Macaca fascicularis: one gene and its partners. The protein of the gene in region 3 interacts with the protein of the main gene of each other region in a pairwise test. Links are inferred from orthologs where the notes say so. Each region holds a gene or a part of one and is shown on either strand. Other genes may lie near its edges.

Region 1 (3,730 bases), on a different chromosome or scaffold from region 3:
CTGTGGCTCATGCCTGTAATCCCAGCATGTTGGGAAGCTGAGGCAGGAGGATCGCTTAATGCCAGCCAGGAGTCTGAGACCAGCCCATGCAACATAGTAAAACCCCAACTCTACAAACAAATAATAAAATTAGCTGGGTGCAATGGTGTACACCTGCAGTACCAGCTACTAAGGAGGTTGAGGCAAGAGGATTACGTGAACGAGGGAGTTCGAGGCTGCAGTGAGCCATGATCACATCACTGCACTCTAGCTTGGGCAAGAGCAAGATCTTGTTTCAAAAAACAAAAAACAGATCAAGTATTGTGTACCTCAAAATAGCTAAAGGAGAGGATTTTAAATGTTCTCACCACAAAAACACGGTGTTTCAGGTGATGGATAGGCTAATCACCCTAATTTGATCATTATAATGTATACATGTATTGAAACATCACACTGTACCCCATAAATATGTACATTAGGCGTCAAAAATAAATTTTAAAATAGGAGGTGAAAACAACAGGATGCAATTATTTTCCAAAAGCGTTGTTTTTATTTATATAGAGTCCTAACCACTTCAGTGGCAGGAGGAGTGGGAGAGGTTCCTTTTTCAATCCAGGGACCTCCATAATGTTGGTTTGTTGTTACCAAACACACAGGTAAGTGGCATCACGGATCTGGTAAACTAACGACAATGTTTAGTCTCTCTCTGCTAGAGCAACAAGGTGAGCATCAATCTCTGCTTCTGTAAGAATCCTAGAAGGCAAAAGGGGGAAAAAACCAACCATTTAAAAAAAAATTTCAAACACACATAAAAGTAGGATAGTATAATCAACTCCCATATATCTATTGACCTACTTCAACAATTATCAATTTATAAACCAATCTACACACACTTATCCTCCCTCAGATTTTGAAAGAATTCCCAGATAATATATCACCTTCACCTATACACAAAAATGTTTACTTATTTGACATCAGATTTAGAATTGTATCTTGAAAACAAAATTCTTTAGTTGCAGCTAAGATAGAAAATATTTCAATTGAATAATATAAAGCTAAACTATAAAGCATTCTATTTAGCTTCTATGTCAAAAGGCATTTATTTTCATTTTTAAATTTTTTTTTGAGACAGAGTCTTGCTCTGTCACGCATGCTAGAGTGCAGTGGCGTGATCTCGGCTCACCGCAAGCTCCGCCTCCCAGGTTCAGGTGATTCTTCTGCCTCAGCCTCCCAAGCAGCTGGGACTACAGGCACGTGCCACCATGCCCAACTAATTTTTGTATTTTTAGTAGAGACGGGGTTTCATCATATTGGCCAGGCTGGTCTGGAACTCCTGACCTCGTGATCCACCTGCCTCGACCTCCCAAAGTGCTGGGATTACAGGCGTGAGCCACTGTGCCCGGCCGTCAAAATACATTTATATGTAGTATAACTCAAATTTATGTCAGCTCAAAGATAAAAATTCGTGAAGAAATTTTAAGCATATTAAAGTGTTCAGATTCAGTGAAAATAAAGTTGTAATTCTATGAATAGTCTACCAGCCAGAGAATGTTCCATGTTGAACACATATTTTCTTTCTTTTTTTTTTTGAGATGGAGTCTGACCCTGTTGCCCAGGCTGGAGTACAGTGGCATAATCTTGGCTCACTGCAACCTCCACCTCCCGGGGTCAATCAATTCTCCTGCCTCAGCCTCCAAACTAGCGGGGATTACAGGCGTCCACCACCACACCCGGCTAATTTTTGTATTTTTAGTAGAGACGGGGTTTCACCATGTTAGCCAGGCTGGTCTCAAACTCCTGACCTCAAGTGATCTGCCCACGATGGCCTCCCAAAGTGCTGGGATTATAGGCGTGAGCCACCATGTGCGGCCCTGAACATGTATTTTCTAAATGATGTTTGCCTCGAAAGGAATCAATTGTTTGGCAACCTTGTTAATGTGACCTATTACTACTAGACTTCTAACAAGTACAATTTGTCAAAAGAACATTTTTTAGTGCAACTGAAGGCAATATTAAGCAGTTTAAATAGTTGTTGATGCTTATGCTATGTATTGTAATTATTTACATATATTTACTATCACAGAACTTATAAATGATACAAAGTTTTTTGAAGACAAGGTTTTTGGTTCCTTACCAATTTTAAAAATAACAGATACAAATACAATTTTAAAGGTGGCAGGAAGGTCTCCAAACAGAAAAGAAAACAAGAACTAATTGTAGGTTTCTTAGAGAGATTTTAAAATTATTATTGCTGAAATTTTTACTGCTTTAAAAAAAAAAAAAAAAGGCACCTTTTTTGAAAGCAACTTGATCTCCACCCCCACACCTCACCCCTACCCCAATCCAAGTTATAAGACTTCTTCCTATAGGGAAAAAAAGCTAAGACAGATTCGGTTCTGGTGTTGTTGTTGCTATTGTTTTTTTTTTTTTTTTAAACAGATGGGGTCTCACTATGTTAACCAAGCTAGAGTAGAGTGGCTATTCACAGGCACTATCATTGTGCACTACAGCTTTCAACTCCAAAGCTCAAGCCATCCTCTTGCCTCAGCCTCCTGAGGAGCTGAGACTACAGATGCATGCTACATCACCCAGCTCCTGTCTTTTTTTTTTTTTTTTAAAGTCCTATGAATTCTTCTAAATCTGTCATGTTTATATGACTTATCTGTGGGCAACCAAAAGAACAAATTAGGAAAAAATAAATAAATAAATAAATAAAACGAAAAACCTCTTCAAGGTCTAGTTAAGCTTAGTTTACCACTCCCATACCCACACCACAACCCTGATCATGTGTCTTTATGGTTGTGATCTAACAGTAGATACACCTCATAGTTAAAATGCCTCCCAGTAGTTCCTTGCATCTGTGGATTTAACTGTAGTATTTTCATTAGTTAAATATAACACATCCTGGTCCATGGTATATAAACTGACTTACAGGTTGCTGGGAGGATTAAATGAACTGACTATGTGAAGCACTCAGTATGGATTTGAATCATGGAAGTTAGAAGGCTGATGTGTGGGAGTTAGTCACTTAGTGAGTAAGAACACTCACACCCATATCCAGCATCTGCAAGTCAAATAGCTGTATTCAAAATGTGGGCTTTCCAAAGATCTCCAGATAAGGGTCTGACATATATCAGTAGCTCATATTGCTCCTAAAAGTTCTACTTAAACAACCACTAAATAACCAAAGTTCTATCTGAAAAACTTGCAAACTACTACTTTGGGAATTGAATTTGTATTGGCCTTAAACTAAAAAAAAGAAAACACAATGCTAACTTTTTTCCTTACATAAGGAAGGTAGGAAGGTAACTTTATGTTATCTCTGGTGTCAAGATATAAAACCACTATGAAATAAGGAGAAAAGCTTTCATATCTGACTCTTAAAGAGAGTACAGTAAGTTTTAAAACAGATCTCAGGTGCTAGGGGAAAAAAAAAACAAAACTATAATGGCAGTTACAGAAAAAAGATTTCCCCCACAAGTTATAGGACACATGAACTCACATGCCTCCACCTTTCTAGTCTGCATTTGGCCCACAATATCACTCACCTGAATTTAGGATTTTCAACTGTCACTACTCCAACTTCTATTTCTGAAGGTTTGAAATCAATTGATAGAACAGTAGACAGGCATGTAATTGCAGTCTGAAAAAGAGTATGTAATGTTAAAATATAGTATTTTTTAGAGATTCCAAGGTTTTCTCATTCCTAGTTTATTCAAATCAGGAGTCAATCAGGAGCTCCGTGTTTTAA
Region 2 (3,855 bases), on a different chromosome or scaffold from region 3:
GTAATACCAGCTGAGAAAATTGATGGAGTATTTGCTGCCTGTCAGAGTGGCTCTTTTGACAAACTAGAAGCTGTGGTCAAGGTAAAGTCAGCTTACTAACTTTGGGGAAAGGAATATTAAATGATCATACCAAAAGTTTTTTTTTTAATAGGACTTAATAGATGAGGGTCATGCAGCAACTCAGTTCGTCAGTCAACTCCATGATGTGGTTGTAGAGAATAATTTATCTGATAAACAGAAGTCCATTATTACAGAAAAACTTGCCGTAAGTAGGTACTTTGCACATGTCAATTAAACATTTAACTACCTGAAGGATGCTAATTTCTTAAATTTTTCTTGTAGGAAGTTGACAAATGCCTAGCAGATGGTGCTGATGAACATTTGCAACTCATCAGCCTTTGTGCAACTGTGATGCAGCAATTATCTCAGAATTGTTAAAAAGTGAATATATTTTGATGTGGGGTTTTGTAAATAAGGGGGTTGTAATAAAAATGACCAAAAGCACCTTTAAAGTGAATATACAATTTATTTAACATTCAAACTTCATTAAGACATGTGCAATATGGCAATTTTACTGGGGATTAAACCCTACCTAGGATGATTGCTTGCTGGGGCTTAGCAACAGGGTCCAGTTCACACTTAGCACTAATTAAATACTTTATTGAATAAATACAATACCAAACAAAATGCATTCAAATGCTTTCTAAAAAAATTTTAAAGGCCTTTCTACTCAGGCTAATGACAAACACAATAAAGGCAGATATGCTAGTTTAACATAATTGGCTGATTTTATACAGCACTTATATCTTTTAGTCCACAAGTATATTATTAAATGATAGAGAACATCTAATACAACCATTTCTACAGAACTAGGAAATAAATTTCTAAGAAAGAAAGATTTTACAGACCCCATCTTTTATACCCACCCCAACAGTCTAACTCTAAAGAGGATAAAGCCAATGACTTTCCTCACAAGAGCTCACGACTAATGTCGCTTTGCTATCAAAATCTGTATTTCTGATCCGTTATGAGCATTGAGACAAGATTCAAATATTCCCAAAGAAAGAAGCACAATGCACGTTGTGATCGCCTATTCAGCAACAGCGAGCACTGCATCCAAAACTCTCATCCCAGGAATTAAATAAGGTCAGCCACATTCATGGGCATCTCCTCCACTGTAGTATTGTAGAAAGTCTCAATGTCACGAAGAATCCTCTTGTCTTCTTCAGTAACAAAGTTTATAGCCACACCTTTCCTCCCAAATCGACCCCCTCTGCCAATTCTGTGTAAGAAAAAAACAATCAGAATGTTACTTCTCACATAATTTATGAACTACTGAACATGACGATCCACTTGTTAACCATCAGCTGCTGTTTACTTATCAAGGTTATAGTTCGTGCTTCTAACTGGAGCACTAGCTGCTAATGCATATCTAGAGAAAAAAATCTTCCTTTGCAGTTAGTGCCAAAAGGATTCAAGGCTTGTCTGGCTGCAAAATGAGATTTTTATCAGGCATCTTGAGCATTATTATAAAGCAGATGACAGTATTGTGTTTGGGGTAGTGAAATTAAAGCCCATACCAAAGTGGGCCAGCCAAGAGCAGGTGTCAGCCTGGGACAGATGTAAACACCAGGAATAAAAGAGCAGTTATGTAATCCATTTCGACGCACTTCTGGAACTGTAAACTGTAAACAAATGCTGCAAAGGTTAACTATTTTCTAAAACTTACTTTTTTCCAGTGGGAAAACAAGTTATTTGGTATGGTAACCCAAACTTATCACTGCTTTTTTGCTCAGTTTCACACGTTGTAACTCAAATTACTCAAAACGTGTTTAACCGCCAAACAGCTACCTTCATGTTAGAAACCAGACAATACAAACCACCTAGTAAGAAAAGTTCCCTAACAGAAATACTAATACGAAAGATGCCTCAGCTGGAGCAACTTAAAATAAATAATCATGACAAAAGAAAAACAAATATAAATACCGACTCGCTCTTTATTCAAACAGTGTGCTGTTTCGCTTATGATTCCACGTCCTAAATTACGTCAACGCCGTTTCTGAGTGCCATCTCGTCATCAACTGCTGCTATCGACTCCTGTATTTTTTAAAAAGTCTTTTTTTACATCACATAACAAAGTACGATTCAATTTATTTAGGGATAAAGCCACTATAACTAAACCAGGGTTCACTCAAATTGCTACCAGGCGACACCAAGAAAATCCCAACTATGGAAAAAATCAAGAAAAAGCACATGGACACAAGAACATCACTAAAAGCTCAAGCATAAGCTAAGACCAACAATTGCGGGGGAAAAAAAAACCTATGCCCACAATCTGAGCAATGTTTACAAGTTTTCCCACTTTGTTCTCGTCAGCCTTCCCCTAGTACAAATTTAATTACATCATCTTACTGAACACTACTGACTTGACTGAATCTATTCCTTGATTTGATGTTACCTTTCATACAAATCACAGTAGAAAAATGTATGAATTTTTTTTCAATACATCCAAGATGCTGGCTTCTCACCTGTGAATATAGTTTTCACGATTGGTAGGTAGATCATAATTTATAACCAAAGACACTTGTTGCACATCAATCCCGCGAGCCTGAAACACAATGGCATATGTTAAAAATTCTAATTCAAAAAACATGGTACCTGTCATGTAGGCCACAAAATAGTAGCGAACTATACTAAGTGGTATAGCCCACTGTGGAGTGTGGTCCTTTTACTCTTCCAAATAGCCCAAGCTGGCAAAGGTTACTTAAAAACCTTCCCCCCAAAAAGCTAACTTTTGGTAGATTTTTAAAAAGCATTAAGAGACTTACCAACAAGTCAGTAGTGATCAGAACACGACTTGACCCTGACCGGAATTCCCTCATGATAACATCTCTCTCCTTCTGGTCCATGTCACCATGCTGCAAATTAATAAACCTTAATTCAAGAATCACCAGTCAGGTCAGTAATTTTAATCAACATGTATGAGACCAAGCGTCCCTGGCTGCTACAGGAATATAGCAGACAGGTATAGTTAAGAAACAACTTTATTTTGAGCAGGGGGAACGACAACACAGCACTTAGCAGCTATATTGTAGTCTGAATCCTGCTTTAGTGGAAATCCAGACATTTTAGAACACCTCTTACCAGAGCAGAAACTGTGAAGTCTCTGGCATGCATTTTCTCAGTCAGCCAGTCCACCTTGCGCCTTGTATTGAGAAAAATAACAGCTTGCGTAATGGTCAGTGTCTCGTACAAGTCACAAAGTGTATCCAACTTCCATTCCTATAATGTTTAGAAGAGAAAGTTAACAGTCATTTAGCTTTTCCAACTTTCTTCAGTTAAAAATACATTCTGGGCCAGGCACAGTGCTTATGCCCATAATCCCAGCACTTCGGGATCCCAACACTTGAGCCCAGGAGTTCCAACCAGTTTCCAGATAGTGAAACCCTGTCTCTACCCAAAATACCAAAATTGGCCCCTCTTAGCCAGTCTCAAAACGTAGGGGTCTAATGAGATATTGCACCAAATCTTAAGACAAAGGACATTGGACATTAAGAAAGAGGTCCATCCCAGTCTTTACAATCTAGTGCTGTTACTTTTCTTCTTGTGTGTACTCTGCTAGCATTATTGCAAAAACCAAGACATAGTCCTAGTGTCTGCAATTTTAGCACAGTGCTTATACAAGAAGGTAAAATAATGTCTAACAATCAGTTACCTCTCTCTCAACATTAATATAAAACTGTTTGATTCCTTCAAGGGTCAATTCTTCCTTTTTCACCAGAATTCGAATTGGATCTCTCATGAATTTTTTGGTCACTTCCAACACATCAGTTGGCATTGTGGCAGAAAGCAACA
Region 3 (3,568 bases):
AGAATGAATCTTTTCTTTGGAACAGATTAAGCACATAATTGCTGACAAGAGATAAGAACACAAAAATGATTAGAAGGGGATGGGAGAAATCAGATCAGCTTTTCTGTAGCAAAGACCCTTTAAGTACACCTGGCAGAAAGAACGGGATTTAGGGAAGCAGAGCAGAAGAATGAGTATCCCAGGCTGACAAAACAGCCTATGCAAAGCTACACTGCACTCGGCCTGAGGGGCTATGCAGGGGCAAAGGTCGAACCTTAAGCATCTCGAAGCCCGACTGTAAGCACTTGCCCTCCACCTCTGCAGCCAAGTGGGCCAGGTCCCGGCGCTTGTCCCCAAGGTGGGCAGCATTTTCTCGGAGTCGCTGCAGAATGTCCTGTTCCTCTTCTTCTAGTCGTGAAAGCAACACCTGCTGCTCTTCATCCAGCCGCCTGTGAAGCTCTTCAAACTCCCTTAAGATCTGCTGTCGGCGACTTTCCACTAGTCTCTGAGAAGAGGGAAGATGTTATATCAGCAGGGTCAGTGTGGTATAAGGAAGCCTTTCTCTCACCCACCATATGTATGAATTAACACAGACTTCCAGTTTCACCGAAAATGGTTTAACAAAGGCTGGGTGTGGTGACGCATGCCTGTAATTCCAGGCTAAGGGAGGTGGATTGCTTGGGATCAGGAGTTCGAGACCAGCCTAGGCAACATGGTGAAACCCCAACTCTACAAAAAATAGACAAGACAGAAAGACAGAGAGAAAGACAGAAAGAAAGAAAGAAAAAAGAAAGAAAGAAAGAAAATGAGAGAAAATGGTTTAACAAGACAGGGAAGACAAGACAGACAAAGACAAGAAAGACAAGAATGACAAGACAGAAAGACAGAAAGATGGACAGACAGAAAGGAAGAAAGAAAATGAGAGAAAATGGTTTAACAGAACACTCATGTTTTATTCCACTGGAATTTCCTTCTGTAAAGAATGGCTCCATCACTATCACTCCCCTACTGATGACTTGGTAGTGAAGACCACTGGGGACATATATATATATTTTTTTAACTTAAGATAAAAAACTCAATAATATGATGACATGCACTATTACAGATATCAGAGATATCTGTGTTATTATCAACTGTAAAGTTCTAGTTAATTCAATCGGTCGAGAAAAGGAAAGTACAGGCTGAGCATGGTGGCTCATGCCTGTAAGCTTAGTGCTTAGGAGGCCCAGGTGAGGGGATCACTTGAGGCCAAGAGTCCAAGACCAACCTAGAAAACAGTGAGACCTTGTTTCAACTAAAAAGAAAAAAAAAATTAGTCGGGCGTGGCAATGCACATCTGCAGTCCTAGCTACTCAAAAAGCTGAGACAAGAGGATGGATGGCTGGAACCCTGGAGTTTGAGTTAGTGTGCTGTGATTACTACTGCACTCCAGCCTGGGTGAGATTCTGTCTCAAAACAAACATGAAAAACAATGAAACGAAAAGGAAAGTACAAATACTAAAAAGTTAAAAATAAGATTGTCATCTTTTGCATATTGCAACACATCCACCAGATAAAAACCAGAGAACTGTGAAAATACAAGAATCAGTAAGAATTCTATGGGTTATTATAAAATATACATATGTAGATTTCAGGGCTGAACTTGTTAAATTGTTTCAAGTCACTTCAGAGAATTGGCAATTCCTACCCCAGAAACAGGTTACAGAAGTTTGTTAGTAATTTAGTTTCTTGAAATTTGAAACATGCTTTCTCTAAGCCAGCACATAGACTCTAACATTGGGCCTCTAACATTTCTGAAATTTGGTAATACAGGATTCAAACACCAGCCATAACACTTTCTGAGAATTATCAGTACATTCTCTCTTCTGCATCTACACTACAACAAATAGTGATCTCCCTAAAGAAAGAATTCCCCAAGCATCATGTGACTGATGGTGAAGCAAAGTGAGAAGCAGAGACTGGGACTCTAGAAGGAAGTGGATAGGGAACGAAAGGCAGGCCTGAGGGTGAAGAGAGGGTGGGGACGCAAAGCCAGGATGGGCCTGACAAGCGTGGCATTTGTGGATTCAAGCTAGTTCCTGGCAGAAGCTGACCAGCTCTTCTAGTTTAGGGCCACTTGCTACTTCACTTTCCACCACTGCCTTCTCAGTGTACATCTGAACAAAACATATTCTCACATTTGCCCTCAATAAAACACAGCCTTTGTGTGTGTGTGTGTGTGTGTGTGTGTGTGTATGCATGTGTGTTTGTTTAGGTAGGGGTGCAAGTTTAACATTTATGACTGTGATAAATAGGAAGCAAAAAGGCTCTTCCTCTTATAAACCAGTAATCTCTTCTCTTTTTTTCACTCTATATTTTAGGGCAGTGGTTCTTAATGAAGGTGTTATCACCCTCTGAGGATATTCTGGAAATGGGCACATCTTCTTGTTTTCCATAGTTGGGGAAGTTCCTGACAATGACGCTAGCACTCCTCCAATGACAATCCGGCATAGTGAACTGACCTGCAACATTTTCTAATGTTCTGCTGGGTATTCAAAAACATAGGCTTGGGCTTGAATATCATTTTATGTAGTATAAACACAGAGTAATTCTTACATGGTTTTACCATACATAAATTTTTCAGCAATAGCTAAATAAAACACAAGATTATATTCTGTTATACTTAGAACTTTACCAAAAGTTATTATTATGAAAAATCGTATCACCAAGAGCTAAGCTACTTAGTGTTTCAATCACATTGGCACACATCCATCTCAGTCTGAATTTGTATTTATATGTTGCTGATAATGACACATATAGGTGCAAGCATATAACCAGCTATACTGTAAAGTCTTTCAGGGTAGTCATGCCCAAATATTACATACCACATTTTATCATCAATTATGTTTCATTACATTTGGACATGATAGACTCTTTAAAATTTAAAATTATGCACATAGGTTATTTTACCTGCAATTTTCAGTTCAGCATAATTACAAATTATTTTTAAAAGGGGCATTGAGTCTGATGAGGGAGAAGGAGGGAGAATTCAAATGGTCACAAGAGGAATGTTGGTGGTAGTTTTGGAGATCACTGACATGACAATTTACAATTTTAAAAAAAACATGACATTTCTGTTTAAGCATTTAGAAGGTTTTAAAAAAGTATATTTCCATCTCTATTCTTTACCTTCAAGAAGATGACCAACATGAAGAAGAAAGCTAATGACTAGCAATAAGCACCATTTTCATATTTTTAGATTTCTCAGAAGGCCTCTAAAAGAACAAAAAACTAAAAGTTCACGTTTGTAACCAAAATTGGTTCAAATTTTAAAAATTTCAAATGCTTACTTTGCTAAAATGGGTAAGGCACTAAGGTAATAATACTTGCTTTCTGATGAAATGTTGTCATTCATTTAAAAATTCATGTTTCTATGAATCAAAACTTGTATTTAGCTTCTGGTGATCCCTACGTCAACTCTTAAAAACTCATCATTCTTTGGGAAACCTTTAAGGAGGCCAAATTTCTATGTTGTCTTCTTATGAACTTGCACCTGTGCATTTTGTGCCATTACTAATTTTCTCCACTTAACTTTAAGCTCAAGGAGGGC

The links. The genes of interacting proteins can lie anywhere in the genome.
Region 1: the proteins of TRIM39 (region 3) and PSMA6 interact in binary tests that used the Homo sapiens proteins (3 or more experiments, as listed by UniProt). The two-hybrid records come from large-scale screens. The link is inferred for Macaca fascicularis from reciprocal best matches to the Homo sapiens genes TRIM39 and PSMA6.
Region 2: the proteins of TRIM39 (region 3) and EIF4A2 interact in binary tests that used the Homo sapiens proteins (3 or more experiments, as listed by UniProt). The two-hybrid records come from large-scale screens. The link is inferred for Macaca fascicularis from reciprocal best matches to the Homo sapiens genes TRIM39 and EIF4A2.

The regions. Positions count from the first base shown.
Region 1 is NC_088381.1:103,130,497-103,134,226, reverse strand, and holds the end of PSMA6 (proteasome subunit alpha type-6), read right to left. Parts: intron 3,623-3,730; coding exon 3,528-3,622; intron 733-3,527; coding exon 675-732; 3' UTR 507-674; downstream 1-506. UniProt on the Homo sapiens protein: Component of the 20S core proteasome complex involved in the proteolytic degradation of most intracellular proteins. This complex plays numerous essential roles within the cell by associating with different regulatory particles.
Region 2 is NC_088376.1:11,706,558-11,710,412, forward strand, and holds the end of EIF4A2 (eukaryotic initiation factor 4A-II), read right to left. Parts: coding exon 3,716-3,855; intron 3,691-3,715; exon of another isoform or gene 3,513-3,690; intron 3,283-3,512; coding exon 3,145-3,282; intron 3,110-3,144; exon of another isoform or gene 2,978-3,109; intron 2,919-2,977; coding exon 2,829-2,918; intron 2,802-2,828; exon of another isoform or gene 2,663-2,801; intron 2,609-2,662; coding exon 2,529-2,608; intron 2,098-2,528; exon of another isoform or gene 1,987-2,097; intron 1,283-1,986; coding exon 1,138-1,282; 3' UTR 507-1,137; downstream 1-506. Other genes in the region: RFC4 (replication factor C subunit 4), read left to right, coding at 1-81, 152-265, 343-438. UniProt on the Homo sapiens protein: ATP-dependent RNA helicase which is a subunit of the eIF4F complex involved in cap recognition and is required for mRNA binding to ribosome.
Region 3 is NC_088378.1:142,312,670-142,316,237, forward strand, and holds part of TRIM39 (E3 ubiquitin-protein ligase TRIM39), read right to left. Parts: intron 485-3,568; coding exon 254-484; intron 1-253.